3 linked regions of the Drosophila melanogaster genome follow. The protein of the gene in region 2 interacts with the protein of the main gene of each other region in a pairwise test. Each region holds a gene or a part of one and is shown on either strand. Other genes may lie near its edges.

Region 1 (8,054 bases), 3.7 Mb from region 2:
GAACCGGGCTTTGAAAGAAGTCGTGGCAGTCCAAGTGGTACCAATTCATCGCGAGAATATAATAGCAATATATATCAGGCCTGTGTGCGGTGGGCTATGTTGGAGCAAATACGGAGTCCAAGTCAGTGCTTTAAAGATGTAAGTTTTATTTGAAAAGTTTGATAAATGCCCAGCTGTACTTAACAAGCATTACTTATTAAACACCAAAGGTCATACACAAGCACTTCTGGTTGAAGAGAGAGGAGATTTGCGCCCAGATAGAGGGCTGGATCGAGGAACTCGGTAAGCCGCAGTACACCGAGAGGGCCAGTCGCACTATATCGTTCAACTCAATGGTCCTGCGCCGCCACTATCGCCACCTGCGTGAGGAGTTGTCGAAACTGAAGCCGCCACGTGGCCTCGAGGACTTGGATGCGCCCTTTAATCCTGTGGCCACGCTACCACCGATGGATGTGTCCGCCGTGGCTCCTTCACTAGCAGCCACAAATACCGTCCAAGCGCAACCGGATGATGCCATAGTGACCGATATTACCCTGCTCGGCGAGAATGCGGATGAATGCGAAGCTGATGGCGATGCCGAAGGCGATGGAGAAGTGGACGATGGCTTTAAGGGTTTCCCGCAAGAAGAGGGTTTGCTGACGGGCGAGGAAGAGGTCGTGGAAATTTTAAGTGATACGGAGAACGAGAGCAGTATGTGGCAATAGATAGAGAAGGAAGAGCTAATAGTCTCTGGTTGCCCGAGGATGCTGGAGATGGATATAAAATGATGCTGCTCGCCTACCGCACTGCGCTGCCCTAGACATTTTTATTTATATGCATGAGTTTTGTTTTATGGCTTTACTTGATTTAATTTTTGTAAGAGAGACTGCAACAGAACTTGGTGTGCTTTACTTAATGGAACCGTAATGATTAATGTTATACAAACTACGCTAAGGAACTTTGCGCAGAAGAGGGCGTGCACACATACAAAATGCATACACTCCCATTAAAAAAGCATTGTCAGAATCTTTCCATTAAACAAACTGAATATCCCACTTCATACAAGTATGTATGAGATTATTGTATCGAACTTTTTATAAATGCTTATATGAAAGGATCTATCAATTTCTACAAGAATAATCCGTGTGTGTATAGAATAGAATGAAAATATCACCATTATAAAACAGTTACAACAACAAAAACCACCAAAACTAAATTAATGTGTATTAAACTATGTATGAACGTAGTGATTTAGTTAAATATTGACACAAGAATATGAACAGTTAATTTTTCAATTGAAATAAAATCCGAGATATATTTTGTTTCCCCCAAAAGTATGCTTTCAAATATTTGGACTAAATGCTGATCATAAATATTTTCGTCGTCTAACGAAAGAGAAAGATAATATATACTACTTTATCACATTCGGCATGTTTATCTTTATGATGCCAACTTTGTCACTTTAATTGGGAATCATTAAATATTATAATCCCTTTGCGGTGTTTTTTCGGTTGCTCAACTGAGATGGTAATGTTTTAAGGTACTTTGGTAAAAACTGATTTTTTTAAAATATGTAGCTTATTTTTCTTGGCACTCGAGTTGTAATGAGTTGTGAATTGGCAAGTTAATTTATTTTACTTTCACTATGCCCTGTTCTGTGTAGAGAACCATTCTAGAGAGCACCAGTGCGCTCAGATGCTCTTGAACTGAAGGCTTCCAGCTCTCTGCGATAAAACATTTTCGATAGAAAGATCACGCCATTGAGTATCGGGGCTTTGTCGCGCTCGGACGTACAGCGGAATTCTTCGGGAGTCTTTTCCCGTGCGTTAGCCCAATTAGTTTATGGCGGATATAAAGTGTGAGCTCGCCTGATCATGGAGCTGAACAATGTTACCATCGAGGACGCCGTAAGTCCAATGTTTCTTTGCATAACCAAATAATAACTGAACGCGTGATTTTATGTAAGAGGAATTCCCCCAATTGATCTGTTCCTATTTTGATTTTTATCGGATTTTGTTTTGCGAGGCACTTCTTCACTCAGTTGCATTTCCCACTTAATTGTTGCCGATGTGTTATACATATGCGTTTTTAAGGGGTAAGACGCTAAGATAACACCCAGTAATTAACAGTTCATTCACAAATTATTTTTTCAACGATCTGCGCCAGTAAGTAACTGCCGATCAAAACGATTTGTTATATTTATGCGGCGCATACCTTTCGGTCCGCAATGCATGAGCTGACAACAAGCTGATTTATTAAGTACCACCACAGCCAATCAGCTATTAATTTATGGTCTAATTAAAATCACTGATCTCAACAAGCTGAGAAAAAACCGTCGCCAGCGATCGAAGCACTGATACTAACGCTCAATTAATCACGATTGGAGACCAGAGCCGTCAGTCAAACTCGGGCCAAGATTAAATTCCGCCCCCCATGGGGCGTTTTAAGCCATATTGTTATGTTAATAAATTCAAAACATTAATAGCAAATCTCATAAATAAAACAATGAATTTTCAGTACTCTGCAATTATACAATAAAATGAGAGAATATCTCTATGCCCGATACTAAAAACCACTCATTTGCATAAACAAATAGATATTTGCATTAAGAAAATATAATTACACTGATCAATAATATTGATGAAGATTTTACTTTCAATTATTAATTAATTGATGGTAACAAATTGAAATTGTACGATGCCCATTGATCATCCTTTTACAAATAGGTAAATGCTTATATGGAAAAGGCGTTTAATTAAAAAGAAACTATTTATATAAAATAAAAACTGTAGTCTTTTGAGCAGTGTTTAGTTGAAAATAATTTGATGTTGCATATTGATTAATTTCCAGACAGATGCTTCCAAGTCCTACTCTCAAGCAGCTAACACGCCTCCAAGTAATGAGAAACCCAAGCCGCAACTGCTCTACGCCATCAACGATAATCCCCCATGGTACTTGAGCATCTTCCTCGCATTCCAGCACTACCTGACCATGATTGGAGCCATTGTTTCCATACCTTTCATCCTGACGCCGGCGTTGTGCATGTCCGATGAGGACGCCAACCGGGGCATCATCATCTCTACGATGATCTTCGTCACGGGCATCGTTACCTACTTCCAGGCCACGTGGGGCGTCCGTTTGCCCATTGTTCAGGGCGGAACTATATCGTTCTTGGTGCCCACCCTTGCCATCTTGGCCCTGCCGCAGTGGAAGTGCCCGGAGCAAGCCGTAATGGATGCCATGGACGAGGCTGAGCGGGAGGAACTATGGCAAGTGCGTATGCGGGAGCTATCCGGCGCTATTGCCGTGTCCGCCATGGTGCAAGTTATCCTGGGCTACACTGGTCTGGTGGGAAAAATCCTTAAGTACGTAACTCCATTGACCATTGTACCCACTGTGTCCCTGGTGGGTCTTACCCTATTCGAGCACGCAGCTGAAACCGCATCCAAGCATTGGGGCATTGCTGTGGGGTAAGTATTACTGATAGAAATACCCAGATAGTTATAATAGTTATTAATTAGTTTTATTACGTTCGAAATACTGGATTGGCAATGTATATCGTTTCAAATTAAAAAAGCTTAGTAAAACTATACCTATGATAAATGTTTTAAAGTTCTTAGAAATTTTATAGCCTGGTAATTTGTTTTTTGGGTTTTAATCTTTTTTATAGAACCACTGGAATGCTGACACTCTTTTCGCAAATAATGTCGAATGTTCCCGTGCCTATCTTGGCCTACCGCAAGGGTCACGGCTTGGAAATTCGCCAGTTCCAGTTGTTCCGCCTCTTTCCCGTCCTGCTGACCATCATGATAATGTGGGGTCTGTGCGGAATTCTGACTGCTACGGATGTCTTTCCTCCGTCACATCCTTCTCGCACCGATGTTCGCCTGAATGTGCTGACCAGTGCAAAGTGGTTCTATGTCCCGTATCCGGGACAGTTTGGCTGGCCATCGGTGACGCTGTCCGGCGTGCTTGGCATGTTGGCCGGAGTACTTGCCTGTACGGTGGAGTCACTTAGTTACTATCCAACGGTGTCACAGATGTCCGGCGCCCACTCGCCTCCGCTCCATGCGATCAATCGCGGGATCGGTACCGAGGGCTTTGGCACTGTCCTCGCCGGTCTGTGGGGAGCTGGAAATGGAACCAATACCTTTGGAGAGAATGTTGGCGCCATCGGGGTCACCAAGGTAATTTATATAAAAGAGAACACTAAAATTGAAGTTGATGGAAATATAAATATCTGCATTTTAGATTGGATCCCGACGTGTAATACAGTGGGCTGCCTTGATAATGGTCCTCCAGGGGGTAATTGGAAAGTTTGGAGCCATTTTCATTCTCATTCCCGACTCGGTGGTGGGCGGAATCTTTTGTGTGATGTTTGGCATGATTATAGCTTTTGGGCTATCCACCTTGCAGTATGTGGATCTGCGATCCGCAAGGAATCTTTACATATTGGGGCTCTCAATATTTTTCCCGATGGTATTGTGCCGCTGGATGCAGAAGAACCCTGGAGCTATTGACACCGGAAACAAGACCGTGGACTCAACGTTATCGGTGCTACTGGGCACTACAATTCTCGTGGGTGGAGTTTTGGGATGCTTGCTGGACAATATAATCCCAGGGACGCCGGAGGAGAGGGGCCTAATCGACTGGGCAAACGAGATGCCCCTGGGCGATGATAATGTTAATGATGGCACAGCCACCGACTACGATTTTCCACTTGGCATGGATGCCATTCGTCGTTGGAAGTGGACCTACTATATTCCGTTCATGCCGACTTACAAGCTCCAGAAGCAAAGCTGATCGTGGGAAAAAATGCAAATAAGAGCCATTCAATTGGTGACTTGGTTTTTATTTATTTTTAGAAAACACTTTTCGTGCTCACGCTCTAATTACAATTTGAACTTCGAATTCGAATGCTACCCAAAACTCTAGATCTATTATTTTTTGTTCCGTGTTTCTGTTAATTTGCTTTTTAAATTCGCTTATTGTTTGTTGCTACGATTACCTAACACTCTTCCGTTTCGCTACCAACTCGCATATTTTCTATTATTTTGCAATAACATCAATAGACCTAGCAAACGAAAGTTGTCGTTATTAAACTCTATTCAAATCTTGAAAACAATCCATCAGTTCTGTATAATGCAAAAAAAAATTGTTGTTAAAATTTATATAATAGAAATTTTAACGCATTTTCGGCGCAAGGTATCCTCACAAAAATAGCATAGAAAATACATATACATATATTGTGAAACACGTCTCTTGTTTACTTCCGGTCTCCCTGTCTCCCTTTTTCCCTTTCTGTTTCCGCTTCCGTTCCGCTTACACACTTATAGATTAAAATCAACGTTTTATGGCTATTGGTTAAATCTAAAACCACCGAAGGAACCAAGGCACAATCATTTGAAAATCGTATATATATGTATGCAAATGTGCATTATTGAGTCACGATCTATGGCTGAAACTCCGCTATATCCAAACTACAACAAACCTACGACTAGGGGCAGCGCTCAAAAGTCTGCACTAGAGTATAACTTTGGCTAAGTTCCATTAAAAAATTATCAAAAATCTTTATGCCTAAGTTTGGTATTGGGTATTATGGTATAGGGGATCTGGGATCGGATCGCAGGGAACCTCGGGGCTCCAGTCTAGAACTTGTGCTGTTCATTTGGGTGGTGGTAATGATGGTTTTGGATGGGGGCGGGATGAAGCTGTTGCTTCTTGGTGCCGCCGCTGCTGGCACGCGAGGATGACGATGAGGCTGTGGTATTGGGCGGCGTGCTCATGGCCTGGCCATGTCCGTGCCCACTTCCGATTCCGTGGCCGGGACTCGTCTTCTTCCGTTTGGAGTAGTAGCAGAAGATGCAGAAGCCATTCTGCGGTGTGGTACATCAAATGTTTGTTGGACTGCGAGTGGCCGATGAAGTGCGGTAACGCGACCCAGATCTAGAATACATATCAAGTTGTAATCACTAATTCCTCTTGAAAGTCATTTAACTTACCGCGAAATACTGGATGTGTAGTCTCTAACCGGTGTCCTTGCTTCACGCCTTTGGTAGGAAACCCCTTCACCACTACGACTGCTGCTCGAGGTCGGTGGCTCCAGCAGGGACATCGTTCGATGGTCGTATGGACGAAGGGATCTCCTGCCCAGGGTGGCGTATCCATCCAGGTGGCTGCTCCCTGCGGCACTGCTTCCACTGGTCGCTGTAGGCAGACTACCATTGAGCGTATACGAAGATCTACGCTTTGGATTGTAGGTGTTGTAATAGCCGCTGGCAATGGCTCCATTACTTGGACTCGAACTGGAGGAGCTCTTGTATCGCATTGGCACCGAACTGTAATCGGTGGTCTCGTAACGTTTGCTGAGGAAAGAGGGCGAGGTATTCCTAATGTCATTCAGACTCTTTCTTGGCTTGCTGGTGGCCCCCGCCGATGATGCAGAGTAGTCCAAAGTGGAGCGGTAAACAGGGGGCTTTAGCTCCGTTCCCACGGGACTCAGTTTCAGGGGTCTAAAGAACTGCTGGGCTATGTCCGGTGAATGAGCTCTTGGTGGTGGATCCATGTCCGGAGCATGCAGTTTGTTACTGGAGCGCGCCTTAACTGCCGCTTGTTGCTCCCGGTAGTAGTCCCTCACAGCCGATGGTCCGACTATGCTGCTAGTGCGTCGTGGTTTTTTCTGCTCATTGAATCGACTGTAGAAGCTACGCCGTTTAATCCTGTCGATCACACTCTCGTTGGGATCAGAGCTCTCGGAGCAACGAGTGGGCGAGGACAATGAAGCTCTTGACAACCGGGAAACTGTGGGCGAGGGCGTCGCGTGCAACATATAGTTGTCCTCGGAGCATATGGACCAATTGTCAAAATACAACTCCGGCTCTTCGGTGGGCGATAGGAAAGTCGAGGTGGAGGCGCAGTCATCTTGGTAGCTCCTTGAGTCCGAGGAGTAGTTGGCAATGTTTTCGAAGGATGGCGTCAAGAGCGGATTATTCCGATTAATCTCATGTGCCGATGAGGTTCTATAGCCAGAAGTTTGCGAACTGCAATTATTATTGGTATTTGTTGAGTTATTGTTGGTGGCGTTCTCCATGGACTGCTGGCTGGAGCTGTTGTTGGAGCTGGCACTTTTCATGGCTCCCGGATAGGGTGGCAGATTCGAGTAGATGCCCATTCCCAGTCCTCCATTTCCATTGATCAAAGCCGGATTGGTTTTAGATCCCCGATAGCTGCTTCCACTTGTGGTAGTTGTGGTGGCGGTGGTCACCGAGCTGGGGGCACCACTGGCGGACACATTTGCGCTGGCCAGATCAAGCATCAGACCCTTTCGCTTCTCCTTGCTGCTTGGCATTGTTGTGTTGGTTGGAGCACCGCTGGTGGTTACGTTCTGTCCATTGTTTTGCCTGCAATCTGGGCAAGCTGTTTCGCAATTGCAATTCTCTTCGCCATTTGCCGTTGAAGAGACTTTGCTTTTTGTGCTCTTAACCACATTCTGATAGATTGGCGATGTTGGTAGCGAGGCGTCCAGCAGCTGATCCTGTTCTTCGCGAACCTGTCGCTCTATGTTGCTGGTGGATCGGGAGCTTCTCACCCGGCGTTGTTCACTGCTTTCCCTGTCAAATCGACGCAACAAACCGCCGAACATCTTGTTAACTGCTCCGCCTTGTTTTCCCTGCCCCTCTGGGCATCCGGCGTGCAGCTCCTCCACACTGGCAGCTCGCTTGGGACTCACGCCTCCATTGGGTTGTGATCTGGGTACGGATCTCTCTCTTAAAGAGCGTAGCATGGTGTCAAACCGGGATCGCTTATCCACCCGTTTGTCGTCGGAGAGTCCAGTTTGTTGGGACTTCTCTGTATCCGAAACGTTCTTCTTATACTTCTCTGGAGAGCTGCGTTCTTCGGGAGACCCTTGCTTTTGGGTGCAGGCCAAAGATGCTGCTGCTCCAGTAGAACCAGCCTTTTTCTCCTTGCTCATGGCGGAGTCTCGTAGTTTCTCAAACTTCTGTCCCAAAGCGTAAAGCAAACCCTTGCTGGGTTTCTTTTCCGGTGACTTCTCCTTGGGCTTAATGACCGGACTA
Region 2 (6,985 bases):
CAACCCAACGGCTACAAAAGGACTGAGCACCAGGCACCAAGCACCACTGGACCAGAGCGCTTCCAAATGATGTTATAGCAACGCTGATAGCCAAACGAGGGGTGCGGACCCATATTAATTTCTGCTATCTCGGCGACGCTTTACATGCGTACTGCAAATGCTGTTGTGCGCGCAGTTCTGGCAATAAATTTGATTTGTTTAGCAATTTGTTGCATATCGCATTGCGCATACGCCCTGTACATCCATCTCGCCGTCCGCCGCTGTCGTCATCGCTCTAGCCTTCAGTCGCTTTAACGATGAATAACGCTCTTTTCTGGTTTTCCCCTTGTTTTTGTTCCGCCACCAGCCAGTCGTCTATTTGTTGTTCGGTGTTTTCATGTTCCGGGTACATGCGACATTTTATCCACTCCCATTGGCAATAATTTATATTGAAATGTCAGTGCAACTGCTGCAGTCTCTCAATCTGAATAGAGGGTGTGATTGCATTAGTTGCCAGTACCGCATTTAATATTTGGCCAAAGTTATTACGCGTCGCGAAAAGTAAATTAACTTTTGGCCGCAGTGCTATTTTATTAAAAAGAGAATATTGTAAATGGTCTGAATGGGCCATAGATTTCAGTCTGCCCTTCTCGATTGGTGACACTTGCAACCAACTAGCCCGGGCCCTTTAAGTATCCCTTAGCACGCTATCGATGAAAGTTGGTGGCATCTTTGCGTGCACTTTATAATTAATAACAATTTAGCATGCACTTAATTTTAATTATTACTCAATTAGGTCAGCGCCATTATAATTTAAGCACCCGGCACACTGCAGATAATTAAGAGAGGGCGAAATTAAACAATTTCCAGCCCCGCGAATGAAGTTCTGCCAACGAGACACAACGCTCCGCGACTTGGCTTCGTCCTTTTCCGGAGTGGCGCCTCCGTGTTTCCGTTCTGTCTGTGGGCTAGGTCATTAGGGATGGTTTGTGTGTAAATTTGATTTCACAACATTTTCTCAGTGCGTCGCTCCAACTTTCGGCCTTTACGATGCACATAAATATTACGACCAAGTTCAAGTTGTAAATAGTTGACAAACTCGGCTATCCGTCGAACCCAAACCATAATAGAGTGGTGATGGGGAGCATTTTATAAGTGCCCGAACTAAAGGACATTCGAAAGATAGTTATTCAGCCCTCAAAAGCAAACGCATTAAAGGTATGCATAAAAAATACAGTTTTCCAAATGACACACATTTTTCACACTATTTTCTTTAAGAAGTGTACCAATTTCCAACTTTCAAATCCGTATAGAATTTCTGCTTTCATTACATTTAACACTCAACCAGACGTCAAAGAAATATCTGGGGAACATGCATCCCTAGACGCTGTGATCTATAATTCCATTAATTTTTGTGCAAGGTGTTCCAATTGAAACCGACCAGAGATGGAAGCAATTTGAATGTCATTAGGTGGACCCACGCACGGCGCAGCCACCCAGAAAGCGAGGCTAAGTAAGACACAAACAAAAAGACATTCGACTCCATATCTGATTGAATAATAATGAGTGCTTAAGGATTTAATGCGCTCCCGGCAGCTGCTGAGCCCCAGACATCGACTTCCACTTGGGAACAGACATGTAGGAAACAAAGCTTGAAATAAAATAGCGCTCTAGTTGATTGCACCGACTTATAGATACCCAGTACGTGGTAGGTACCACCCCAAAAGGTGCATAAGTCACCCATTTTGACTTAGTGGTAAAGTAATGTGATATAATTCATAAAAATGATTACAATTTATATAATTTTATAAATATATTAAGCCATCTAAAACTTGTTAAGGATTGAGATAGTAGAAGGGTATAAACAGCCAACCGAGACAGTATACCTAATTCTTTTCCGCCACTTTGTTGACACCGGCATAGTCAATGGGGAATTCCTTTCGGCTGATGCTGATTGCCAAAAAAGATAAAAATAAATGCGGAAAGAAAAAGGCCAGAACAACCCGCGCCTAGTGAAAAAAAAAAACTGAATATCCCTATCGCACGAATTCAAATTAACCCAACATACTCACACGCCCACCAGTGCTGTGTCGTCTTAGATTGGATTTCTATAGCTGTAGTAATAGCTGTTTCAAATAATATAAATTTTAACACATTTTATACCCGTTACTCGTAGAATTAAGTAGAATACACTAGATTCGTTAAAAAGTATGTCAAGGAAGTATGTAGAAGGAAGAGTTTCTGACCGTATAAAGTATATTTATTCTTGATCAGGATCATGTCCGTCTGTCTGGTCGTTCGTATGACCGTCGAAATTTCAGGAATTATATAAGCTATAAGGTTAAGATAAAGCATACAGATTCTAAAGCACAAGTTTGTTCATCCATGCAGCCACGCCTTCCCATTAAATTCTCCAATATCTATCGATATGCCAGAAAATTATGAAATATCACGTTCTCACTGCCAGCAGCTGAGTAACGGGTATTAGATAGTCGGGGAACTCGACTATAACATTCTCTCTTTTTTTTAATTCAAAATATTTCATGCATTTAAATAGTTTTTGTAAATGCCAAACACCCCAGTGTTAAGGCAGCACTCCCCAGTTTCGATCATTAAATATCGTGTGCTGTTTTAATATCTTCCTGGTGAACTACAAGTTGCAAGCAACTAGATAGAATGGTTTTACATAACTAACAATGGCATATTCACCAAACTTCCAAAAAGTGAAATTTATTATTGGGTACAGAGTAGTTTCAAATATCAGTAATTGGTTTTTCAAATTGCTTAACTACAAATTTACAAGAACTGCGGCACAAAAACTTCAAAGTGATAATGACCCTCAATTTGTGAATTGCCAGCATAACCAAAGCATGACTATGATGGGAATATTGTCAACTTGAAATCTATTCAAATTGCCTTGACCATTTTCATCACCTTCCCTGCAATGAAATAAAATGAAAGAAAAAACTACAGATGTAATTAATTTGCTTACCCTTTGATCGGCGGAAGAACATTTTCTTCGAACTGCCCGTTCACATTGACTGGTGGATAATATCTTGCTACCACCCAGTAGTAACCCTTTTTGTCCTTGGCTTGCCCAATACCCATTTTTTTCGCATTCTTCCAAACGAGGGCGGTGAAATGACCCGTTGACATTGCAAACTGTGGCTTTTCAAAGTCGTAGTCCGCGATTTCGTCGTACCAGTCTTGAACACATTGCAGAGGGGTTTGTGACCGCATGCACAAGTTTTCACCATAGTTTTGACCGGCAGAACTTGAATGCTCTAACTTTTCATTATTGGCTAGCACCTGTTCGAGGGTATTAAAAGTGTAAAAAGGTAACATTGTTATTAACCAACGAAATACTTTAGCATATTCTTCGCATCCCTTTGTGAGTTCATCGTCCAAGGTCAGAGGCGGACTTCCATGCTTCTCCCTCAACCGATTGTGTTCATTTAGATGGTCCTCCTGAAGATCAGCTATAACCAACACCAACTAGAATACAGGAGAATAAATCAGATTTCATTTAAAATTACTAAATATTTAATTATACCAAACATAGAGCCAAAACAATCAATATGTTCACCAAAAACATGTTTTTTTGAGAATAACTATAGCACGAAAACTTTGACAAACTTATCTAGGATTCTGATTGCTTTAAAGACCTCGAAATTCTGGTGACGTAATTTAAAAGTTACTTAAATTGTAATTAGTTTGGTGTACCTATAAAGCGTATGGAGGATCCCTTAATTAATACAGTTTTTAGTCCGTGCACTTCTCATGCAGTTTGTATCATTTGTACATGAGTATCGTTCCAAAAATCTACTAAAATATGAAGTTGACTTTAGATTCGGACATAATGCATGGAAAGCTGAGTATCAAAACCAATCTCAAAAGAAACACAAATTAGACGAGGGTTAAATTTTGTTTGTCTACTTAGAAGTCTAACTTTGTGTTAAAGGAGCTGATTATTTTTAAAAATAAACCTATAGTTCTAGTGACTCTTACTGATAGGGGTTTTTCCATATCAAAAAAGTCTAGTTGCCTCAAAACTGATGCTTCCGCGGCAATTTGCTTGTTGTGTTGACAGCTGGCCTGAGGTTTCATGCTTTTTGCATTAGGGTACTGACAGATGACTTCACAGAGACACTGAAAACCAGAACGAGGAAAAGCACAATATTTTTTCGGACATTTTTTAATATATTTTGTATGGCGTATGTTTTAAAACTTATATGCAGTTTTATTTTTGTACACCACTTTTGTTTGGGAAATGCGAATAGAAATTTCTCTGTATCAAACGGGCGAACAGACTTATTGGGGGTGCAGTGTGCAATTATTTTGAGCGAGTAACCGCCACCAGGCCAAAGGATAATGCGATGAGTTCTGATCGCCAGCAACAACGGACCAGCTCCAATGGAGCCACGCCCCAGCCAGATATTAAATTTTCGCTGTTGCTCCATGGAGCTGTGGCAATAAAGGTTTGGCTTTGCCAACCATGTGCGAGGGCACTTTGAGGAGGGACGAGCTCTGGCTCCCACACATGTGGCTGATGCCTTGGGCCATCATCGTTGACAACAATATCAGTGGCTTTCGAAACAGCGGCAGCCGCAGGAGCAAAAAAGCAGCTGGAACACGGACTAGTGGAACTTACTTTGTCCTCTGCGTGGCTTTGGTTTCTGGTTTTTGGCTGTAAAATGTCAATTTGGGCCCGTGACGAAGATTTATTGTGCGCGTGTTTGATAGGCGCGCTTAAATATCCCATTCAGCACACATATTTCCACTATCAATTTCGATGGCACCAGCATGAGCATAATCTGGTTCGTCACTGGTGATGGCACCTCTGCTGTTTTCAAAACTTAGGAATGGAAATGATCAGCGTGAAATCTAGGTTTTGTACGCAACACAAAATCATTCACAAAAATAAGGTTTTTGGTACTATGGGTATTACAGATGATTTCACTGCACTGCAATTTATGCAATTTAAAAATTAAATTTATTCAGGGCTTAACAAATAAGAATACTAGTTTTGTATACATTTAGACCTAAATCCAACAACAATTTCAGTACATTCCGCAGGATATATACGATTGCTGCTTATGAATGCAGAACAGTCGCTAAAAAGCCAACGAGTTGACTCGCTGCCAAGAGCAGCATTTAAATGAAAATGGCAAATTCATGCCACATAATGGTTAAACGACATCAGAAGAGCAACACGCAAAGCGTTTATTTTTTCTGAAATTCCAGGCACGCAAGGACAAGCAGCACACACTCAAAATTGTAAGGGAAAACTTGCAATTTATCCATCCGAGTTGCCTCCTGTCACCGGCACCAAGTTGTCCCACTCCTGCCTGGCCGATAACTCAATAGCGTAGCCCGGGGAGCATTGGCATAACTAAACTAATTTCTTTTAATTCAAACACAGCAACTCCGGCCCAACGGCTCTGTTGGACACTGATGGCCAAATGGCTGGGTGTGAAACTTTTATGTCGCCCCCTGCATGGACCTCCGCCCAGGTGGTCTTACCCACCTCCGGGCTCCTGCTTCCCATTGCCCAGTGCCCATTGCCCAATCCATTTCTCCCTGGCGGCAGCCCTGACCGACATTCGATGAATTGACCAACGCAGCTTGTTATTTTTCGTGTGCAACAGCGCGTTTTATTCGCTCCTGGAGGTTATGTGCCCCTCACCCCGTGGCATCTAGATTCAAATCAGAGATGGCACTTACCTATCCTAAGAAATCTTAAAAAAAAAGGTGAGCCAGCTTATTGTAAGCTACCGATTACCATCATTTACAATCAAATTATGAAACTGTCAATGATTTACCCTAATAAACATAAACAATTTTTATTAAGCCATTTAACTAATGGCTAGATTCGCGGAGTTTCATGGGTGATGTAGACATCCAAAACATGTAACATAAATTGGATTTGTCCTGTCTTTCCTGTATATTTATTGGTATTATTCAAGTTTGGTTTTCCTAGTAATAATCTTACAAACACAGGTTCTCTTTGGCATCACTAAGTGGTGGTGGCTTCCAAAGCCGAGTACAGTTCGCCTTTCTTTTATTTCTGGTCAAAACTTTTGCACTGTTTTCACCAGATTCCGCATTCGGGTAGTTGGACAGCTGACGTCTGTTTTTCACCTGCCAGGACCGCCCCACTCGGGCTCAGAATCGGATCCTCTATTTGTTTGCGTATGGGAATCGCCGGTGTCTGTCCATCTGTCTGTGTCAGTGTTTGTGTGCTCGTGAGTTTTGCGAGCAGGTGTGCGTGAGCTTTCGCTGACAATTGTGATTTTAGCAAAGGGTTTTAATTAGATTTCACTTCATTTTCCGCTGTCATTCAGTGAAAAGGAAAGCTTCTGCCTTCCGCAAAATCTATTCAATAATGTGAGCTTACCCATTGAGTGCACACTGCATCCAAACTCTTCTTACATTTTTGGAGTTCAGAGTGTCTAGAACCTGGCTTAAATAACAACATAAGTATGTATTTTCCTTATAATTGTATTTATATATAAATAAGTTTATGTTTTTGCTATTTTATTTGGGACAGTATAGTATCCCAACTTTTTCCGTCTTCATTTTGGTATTTTAAATTCACATTAAGCAGGCTTTTTGTTAGGATTTGAAATTCCGTGAATGGGAGTTGAGCAAATTTTTCAGTGGATTTTCTTGCCGATAACATTTTTATATATTGCGTATATATCTGCGTTGAAGACTGCATTAGTTGTAGTTAAAACTACAAATTAAGGGACGCTTTGAAAAAGGATATAATAATTGCACGTACCCAACTAAAAGATCGAACAAACCCATAGATAGATCGATATATACGATATTTTATCTAAGCCTTCATTGAGATTTGTGTTAGATGATTTGAAAACACTGGAAGTGCTCGTTGTGTACCGAGTTAGTTTCCGTTTTGAAGTTCACAGTTAATTGGATATTGGTTAATTTGGAGGAATGAATTCAAGATGAATTCATTACCAATACTGCAATCAGTGGACCAAAA
Region 3 (7,224 bases), on a different chromosome or scaffold from region 2:
GTTTTCTTGGCAGATCCCGATATGTCACGGTTAAAAAGAAAGCTAGGAGAGAGTGCACGAAGAAATGAAAATCTGATGCTAACACAAGAAATGAAATTAATTCACATGAATACACTTATTTATTATTATTAATTGATAAGTGGAAAAACAATGCATTCGTGTATTTTTTGTATTATTCTTTGCAAATGTCTAATGCACAAGATTATTATTACAATTAAAAATCTTCAACAGCAAATTTTTATTTTTTGTTTTTATGGTATATACAATTATTTAGAATTAACACATTTGTCATTTTTGAAATTGTATCTTTTAAAATTCTCGATATTTACTACATTTAAACACCCCACTGATGATACAGCAATAGTTATCTTAATTTCGAAATTTTCGTTAATCTTATATGAACTCAAATCATATATGTTCACAAGACAGAAGATAAGCATTGATGTATATCTTTTGAAAGGAATACGGTATTACCAAAGACACTAGAATAACAAGATGCGTAACGGCCATACATTGGTTTGCCCAAAGACCCTAGAATAACAAGATGCGTAACGCCATACGATTTTTTGGCACACGATTTTTTGGCCGTGGCTCTAGAGGTGGCTCCAGGCTCTCTCGAATTTTTGTTTGAGAGCGAGAGAGCGAAGAGCGCTACAGCGAACAGCTCTTTTCAACGCACAAAGTGGTAGGAGACATCTGTATGTGTGCACACGTATGCTCATGCATTGTAAATTTGACAAAATATGCCCTTCACCTCAGAAGTTTTTAGACTTTAAATCTATATTATTTTTGATCAATTGGCACCATGCGAAAAATTCTTGTTTTGCATTGCCTTAACGTTATTATTATTTGAAAATATATCAGAAATAGCCAAATCTATGTACATATTATCACAAAAATAAATTTCAAAAATGACTTTATATAAGAATATTTGTCATTAGAGTATTCATCTTGCGGCGTGTGAAAAATTAATAAGGCAATGATTGTTGAGTGCTTGTGTCCGCACTTCGTGCCTCAAGATATGAACAAAGCATTAGAATTATTCTAGTATATTACTTTGATATTACTTTTGCAATAAACAGTTATCATATTTAATTATTTAGTATATTTATTAAATCATTTGACTTAATATGATGTAACATTAACATTAAAAGTGTTTTAAAAAAATAATTTCTCTTTTAAAAAATTGTCAGATGAGAGACAAATTAGAATTAAACATAAATATAAATGTGTAAACGGTAGCTAATTCGAGCGGCGATTTTAACAAACAAATTTAAAAAGCTTTAAAATTATAATAGTCAGGGCGCGAATTTTTAAAAATTTTTTTATTTTATCATATTGCTAGGAAATTGGCAAAAACTACCCTAATATGTACCATGTAAATTCGTTTCTTCGATCAGAATTGATTTCGGCCCGAAAATCGTCTTCTAGCACAACACGCACACTTATACGCGTTCTCGTCTCTTGTTTTTACTCACACAAGCAATCAAATTATATTTTTAGATTTCTTACGCTCTCAGCGGGAGTGAGCGGAAAGAGAGTAATTTTGGCAGTCACCAAAGAAGTGGCTGCATAGTGCCAAACCAATGTATGGCCGTTACGCATCTTGTTATTCTAGTGTCTTTGGTTAAACTAAAGTATTTTTAAAGAAATACCGAACTACTTAAACGGAATTAAAAATTAAATTTCTTTGAAATTTATTGATCATCAACCGATGGTATATTATAAATAGACTTATATACTACAGGTATAACCTGTATATAGTATGATCTAAATCGTTGATATAATGAAATACTAACTACAGTCAAACCACGGACAATTGTTTATTTGTTACGTTCATTATGACTTCAATATTTCATATTTCATTATAAATTTCATTACAAATCTTTACATCTTTCTTGATGTGTGAAAATGTTATAAGGACTATTGAACTCTTTGGTTTGTGCTGCGATTTTGTGTCTTTTAAGCGAGAAGGTATAATTTGCCAGTCCATGTGCGGTCACACTGATGACAAATCGTTTTTATCAAGCGATATTGGGAACTAACTTTCGAGTTTGCATATGTGTATGCATATGTATATTTAATTAAGTTTTGGTTTTGTCTGATACACAAGATGATTATTACAATTAAAAATCTTCAACAGCAAACTTTTACTATTGAGTTTGCCCCGGAAAAAACGGTATGTGTACAAATAGTCAAATACTAGTATATTCACATGTATGGTATATACAATTATTGCAAATGCATATGTGTGCTTATACAGGTATTTCTTACAATTAATTTGTTGTACCATAATAAGCAGGGATTCTGATTACAAAAGGTTTTGGAACTGAAGAAGAAAATATTCGAGGAGCGCGGTCCAGAGTACGTCGCCGAAAAACAAAAACTGATCTACGCTGGCGTCATATTGACGGATGACCGCACCGTTGGTTCATACAACGTTGATGAAAAAAAGTTCATTGTGGTAATGTTGACACGCGATTCGTCTAGTTCAAATCGTAATCAACTTAGTGTAAAAGAAAGTAATAAATTGACTAGCACCGACGATTCAAAGCAATCTATGCCTTGCGAAGAAGCCAACCATACCAATTCGCCTAGTTCCACAAATACAGAAGATTCAGTTTTATCACGTGAAACCAGACCTTTATCTAGTGACGAATTGATTGGCGAGTTGGCCCAGGCTTCCTTACAATCGCGCGCTGAATCTAATTTGCTTATGGGTGACGAATACAACCAAACAGTCCTATCAATGGTGGAAATGGGTTACCCAAGAGAGCAGGTTGAACGTGCGATGGCTGCTAGTTATAACAACCCGGAAAGAGCCGTTGAATATCTCATTAATGGCATACCTGCAGAGGAAGGTACTTTTTACAATAGGCTGAATGAATCAACGAATCCTAGTCTAATCCCCTCCGGACCGCAACCTGCGTCGGCAACCTCTGCCGAGCGTTCAACAGAATCAAATTCAGGTAACTTGATGGGATTTCAATCAGCAGTCAATTTATGTATTCTTGTATGAAACGAAAATATATAATTTCTACCCAGAAGTACTAAATTTGCACACTTCAAAACATAGTGAAATTAATAAACCCGATTTGGCTCTCGCTCTTTAATGAAATTATACGGCCTTAACATAATTGCGTTAGTTTTCCTGGTCAAGAAATATTGTTGATCAAAACTTATGTTGCACATTCGTTAATAAATAATAAAAGAGTTCTCTTAGTACTGGAAATATATGCAGCTGTTAAAGATTCACTAAAATGTTTGTGAGCTCGTTGTCCCGCAGTATCATTTACATATATATGTCAACAGACACTAAAGGAGCGATAATTCACGAATTTTTGTCACTATTCTCTTCAAGGACAGGGCATCACTATATGTTTTTAGTTAATTTAATTATTATTTAATTATTTATATTTACGTTTCAGACCCCTTTGAATTTTTACGTAGCCAGCCACAGTTTCTTCAAATGCGATCTTTAATTTATCAAAACCCTCATCTTTTGCATGCAGTATTGCAGCAGGTAAGTACACTTATAATAATAATTACATGACACGTAAATGATAATTTTTTTTACGTATAGATTGGTCAGACAAACCCAGCCCTTTTACAACTTATTTCGGAGAACCAAGATGCGTTTCTCAATATGCTTAATCAACCGATTGACCGCGAATCGGAGTCAGGCGCCACCGTTCCTCCCGTTTCGAATGCGCGGATTCCTTCAACTTTGGACAATGTTGACCTCTTTTCTCCAGATTTAGAAGTAGCTACTTCAGCACAAAGATCAGCCGCGGGTACAAGTGCAGCACATCAAAGCGGTAGCGCAGCGGATAACGAAGACTTGGAACAACCTTTAGGAGTATCAACCATTCGTTTAAATCGCCAAGATAAGGACGCAATAGAACGGGTATATAGGAGTGAATAATTATATATGGACTGTCGAGTTACTTAATATATTCTTCTTCTAGCTAAAAGCTCTTGGATTCCCAGAGGCCCTTGTACTGCAAGCGTACTTCGCTTGTGAAAAGAACGAGGAACAAGCAGCTAATTTTTTGCTATCGTCTAGCTTCGATGATTAGGATGACAAAATGTAAGAAGTTATGCAAATAACACCGGAAGCGTTACATTTAAAGTTAGATGTTCTTAAATTAAATGTAAAATGTCGATCATAAAAATTCTTTTATATTCTTTTAATACCGTCGGCGTATTGTACTTGTTATTTGTTAAAAATTGCAGCCATGGGTAAAATAGAGTTACGATGTCATTTTTACTAAATATTTCACCACGACATTGTCTTCAGCATAAGACTGCAAATGTCTACAAATTTATCTGTGCCAATCCATGGTAGGGAGGCCTTGGATTAGGCCTTCACCTAATGGATGGCAAAGTATATTTCTAGTGTGTGTATTTCTAGTGTATATGCAATACACACATTAATTATTTTAAGGTCGTATTAAGCTAAAGAAGTCTTATGATTTATTCTTTCCTTATCTTGGTTGATTTATAAAATATTTTTTTGACTAGTGGGAGTCCACAATTAAGTCACTTAACACATAAAGTACTTTTTGTCGTCCTGGATGTTGGACATATGACTAAAATATATTAATCATTGTATTACATAAATTTCGTGTTTTTTTATTGTAAATAATGTCCGCAATTATGCCCTAATAAGCTGTGGCGTCTCTTTGGTGATTCCTTTCAGGATGAGTCGGAGAAATAAAACAATTTCATTAATTGCATGACATTCATAACAATTCTATAGTCGAGTGCCTCGACTATCAGATACCCTTTACTCACGAAAAAACTAATTAAAATTTTTATAAATATTTTTTATTGCTTATTTTTACAGGAATAAATGTTCTCCAGTTTTACAGTACTTAGATTATCATTAATTTACAAATATACAAAACTGTAGAACATTTGGACTTATGATACTTTTCTGCTTGCCAATTAATACGACAAATATAAAACTCGAACATTGTAATATGCATTATTAATGCAAAGAATTCTACACTTTAATATTAATAAATCTCTAATAGTTTCATGTATGGCTATGGTCCCCTCTATAATGTTGCTACAATTATAAATCTTTCCTGACTCAATGTAGATTCAAAGACACAAGAATTATTGGTAGATTTGGTAGAACGCAGGTAAGTGGAAAGAGAAGCACTCGTTAATACTTCTTTCCTTGACACGTTCCAGAACTTTAGACTGGGTCGAATTAACTTTATAAACATGGGCATACCCACCGGACCACAAATAACGTTATTCTAGTGTCTTTGGTTTGACTGTGTTAATGACAAATCTTTAAGCTCAAAATTGTAGTATAGAAACTCTTTGGTGACCATTGACACGAATAGGACTGCCGACCACAGTGACATACATATAAAGTGAAAACATACACATTTATGTGGAAATGGTCTGGCAACGACGAAAGACAAGCTTCACAGCTTATCTAACGACAAATCAAAAAGTTAGAACGATAGAGTGGTGTTTACACACAAACTACCGGATTGATGTACACTTTCTCATATCGATATGACGCAACCTAGTGATTTTGGAAGTATTAGTAAGATGCTACGCGGTGAAAAGATACAAAATATTATAAGATTGTATATATGTAAAGGGAAAACAATTTATCCTAATTTGAAACAAATCCATGCTACAAGTAATTGAACATTTTACCAAATTTTGTCGATTGTGCCCAAGGAGAAGAGAATCGAGATCAGGTTTCGGAATGGCAACGAAAAGGAATAGTACGCAAGTCGGCGCCGAATTTCGCCAGCAGACTCGTCATAGTCAAAAACAAAGATGGATCAACTTAACGCCATGGTTTAAAAAACTGCCTAAAACTGCAGTCAGCAAAGCTATTTGTCGTCGTGATTTTGGGAAACAGTTTTTTTCACGTTCTAGTAGAAGAGAAGTGCCCATAATACACATCATTTATAGCCAAAGAAGTTTTTAAAGATCTTTGCTAAGATATGATTCATATTTACAAGACAAGACAAGAACAGCGGAAATAAAGAACGCGCGAAAAATATTCCGCAAAGAAGTTGAGCAGAATTAAAGTAGAAAAGACGCAGAAAGGTATCTATAAATGTAGAAAGTCATAGCAGAAGTAGTTATAGAAATCCGTAATCTAAGGCCGTAACAGAAGACGTTATCCAGTAAACCAATGGTGACATTGCCAAGCTGCCTTTAAACCGTCTCTTACTTTTTACTACCATTCTGAGAACGTAAACTATCCATTGTTATTAAATACAATAAAAACATATATAATTATAAATTAACATATAGTATATAGGAGCCGGAGTCAAAATTCTGATGCCAATGAATTCGGCGCCGACTTGCGTACTATTCCTGCCTGCGCAAGTCTAAATATTAAAGTAAAATATTTCTTGCACTACTTTTTGACCTTCCTCATTTTGCTTGGTTTACTCACAATACATTCTCGTATAAGGCCTCTCAAATCACTCAACTTTACAGAAAGCTGACAAAAGTTGACGTCGGTACCAAATTTGACTTTCATGCGACAATTCATTAAATTCAAAATCTTTGTGCAAAGCACTTAATGTTAATAATTGTATATCCGAGAAATTAAACCCAATATATTTATAGCTTAATATCCCTTAACTTTTACTTCATCTTATTTGACAAAAATATATGTATTACTACATTACTAGTGATTATGTCCAAATGTTATAATTAGGGGTAGCAGTGCGCCGCAAATCAGAATTACCAATTCACTATATTTTAGTGCTTGAATACTATTGCTTCCATTTATATCATTCGTAGCAACACCTCGAGATTCCTCTAGCAAACAATAATCATGCTGATCGCTTTTCGTAAATCCCCCTTGGGTAAGCTCTGGTAAAACATGCACAGTTGCTACGTACAAAAATGTTCCAGCGGAGAATAGCATAGCTATACCAGTGGCATTCACGGAATTTAACGTGTCCTTCTGCTCCTGTCCGATCCCAAAATACGTTAAAATAGTCATAAGGGGAGCCGACAGGGAAAATAAGACTAGGTGTCTGCGAATTTGATGTCTGTCTACTTTTTCGTGCAGTAAGAATGTCACTAATCCAAATGCTGCTGGTGCCTTATGAAGCATTATAGCTAAAAATACAATTATCTCAACGTCTTGATGGCTAGTGGTGGCAGCTGCTCCCAATGCAACTCCATCAGCTGCAAAAGAACAACAATTTTTAAGATATGGTGGGT

Evidence for each region. The genes of interacting proteins can lie anywhere in the genome.
Region 1: the proteins of CG31482 (region 2) and CG6293 interact in a two-hybrid assay, tested with the Drosophila melanogaster proteins (one large-scale study listed by BioGRID).
Region 3: the proteins of CG31482 (region 2) and Rad23 interact in a two-hybrid assay, tested with the Drosophila melanogaster proteins (one large-scale study listed by BioGRID).

The regions. Positions count from the first base shown.
Region 1 is NT_033777.3:10,305,294-10,313,347, reverse strand, and holds CG6293 (uncharacterized protein), read left to right. Parts: upstream 1-1,734; 5' UTR 1,735-1,853; coding exon 1,854-1,886; intron 1,887-2,829; coding exon 2,830-3,449; intron 3,450-3,649; coding exon 3,650-4,166; intron 4,167-4,230; coding exon 4,231-4,782; 3' UTR 4,783-5,542; downstream 5,543-8,054. Other genes in the region: Bruce (BIR repeat containing ubiquitin-conjugating enzyme), read left to right, coding at 1-138, 210-704.
Region 2 is NT_033777.3:6,597,899-6,604,883, reverse strand, and holds CG31482 (uncharacterized protein), read right to left. Parts: upstream 3,643-6,985; 5' UTR 3,575-3,642; coding exon 3,533-3,574; intron 3,475-3,532; coding exon 3,346-3,474; intron 3,289-3,345; coding exon 2,972-3,288; intron 2,919-2,971; coding exon 2,819-2,918; 3' UTR 2,683-2,818; downstream 1-2,682. Other genes in the region: CG1138 (uncharacterized protein), read left to right, coding at 6,948-6,985.
Region 3 is NC_004353.4:306,111-313,334, forward strand, and holds Rad23 (Rad23), read left to right. Parts: upstream 1-1,982; 5' UTR 1,983-2,113; coding exon 2,114-2,179; intron 2,180-2,302; exon of another isoform or gene 2,303-2,320; coding exon 2,321-2,969; intron 2,970-3,428; coding exon 3,429-3,523; intron 3,524-3,583; coding exon 3,584-3,907; intron 3,908-3,968; coding exon 3,969-4,079; 3' UTR 4,080-4,712; downstream 4,713-7,224. Other genes in the region: Zip102B (Zinc/iron regulated transporter-related protein 102B), read right to left, coding at 6,680-7,188.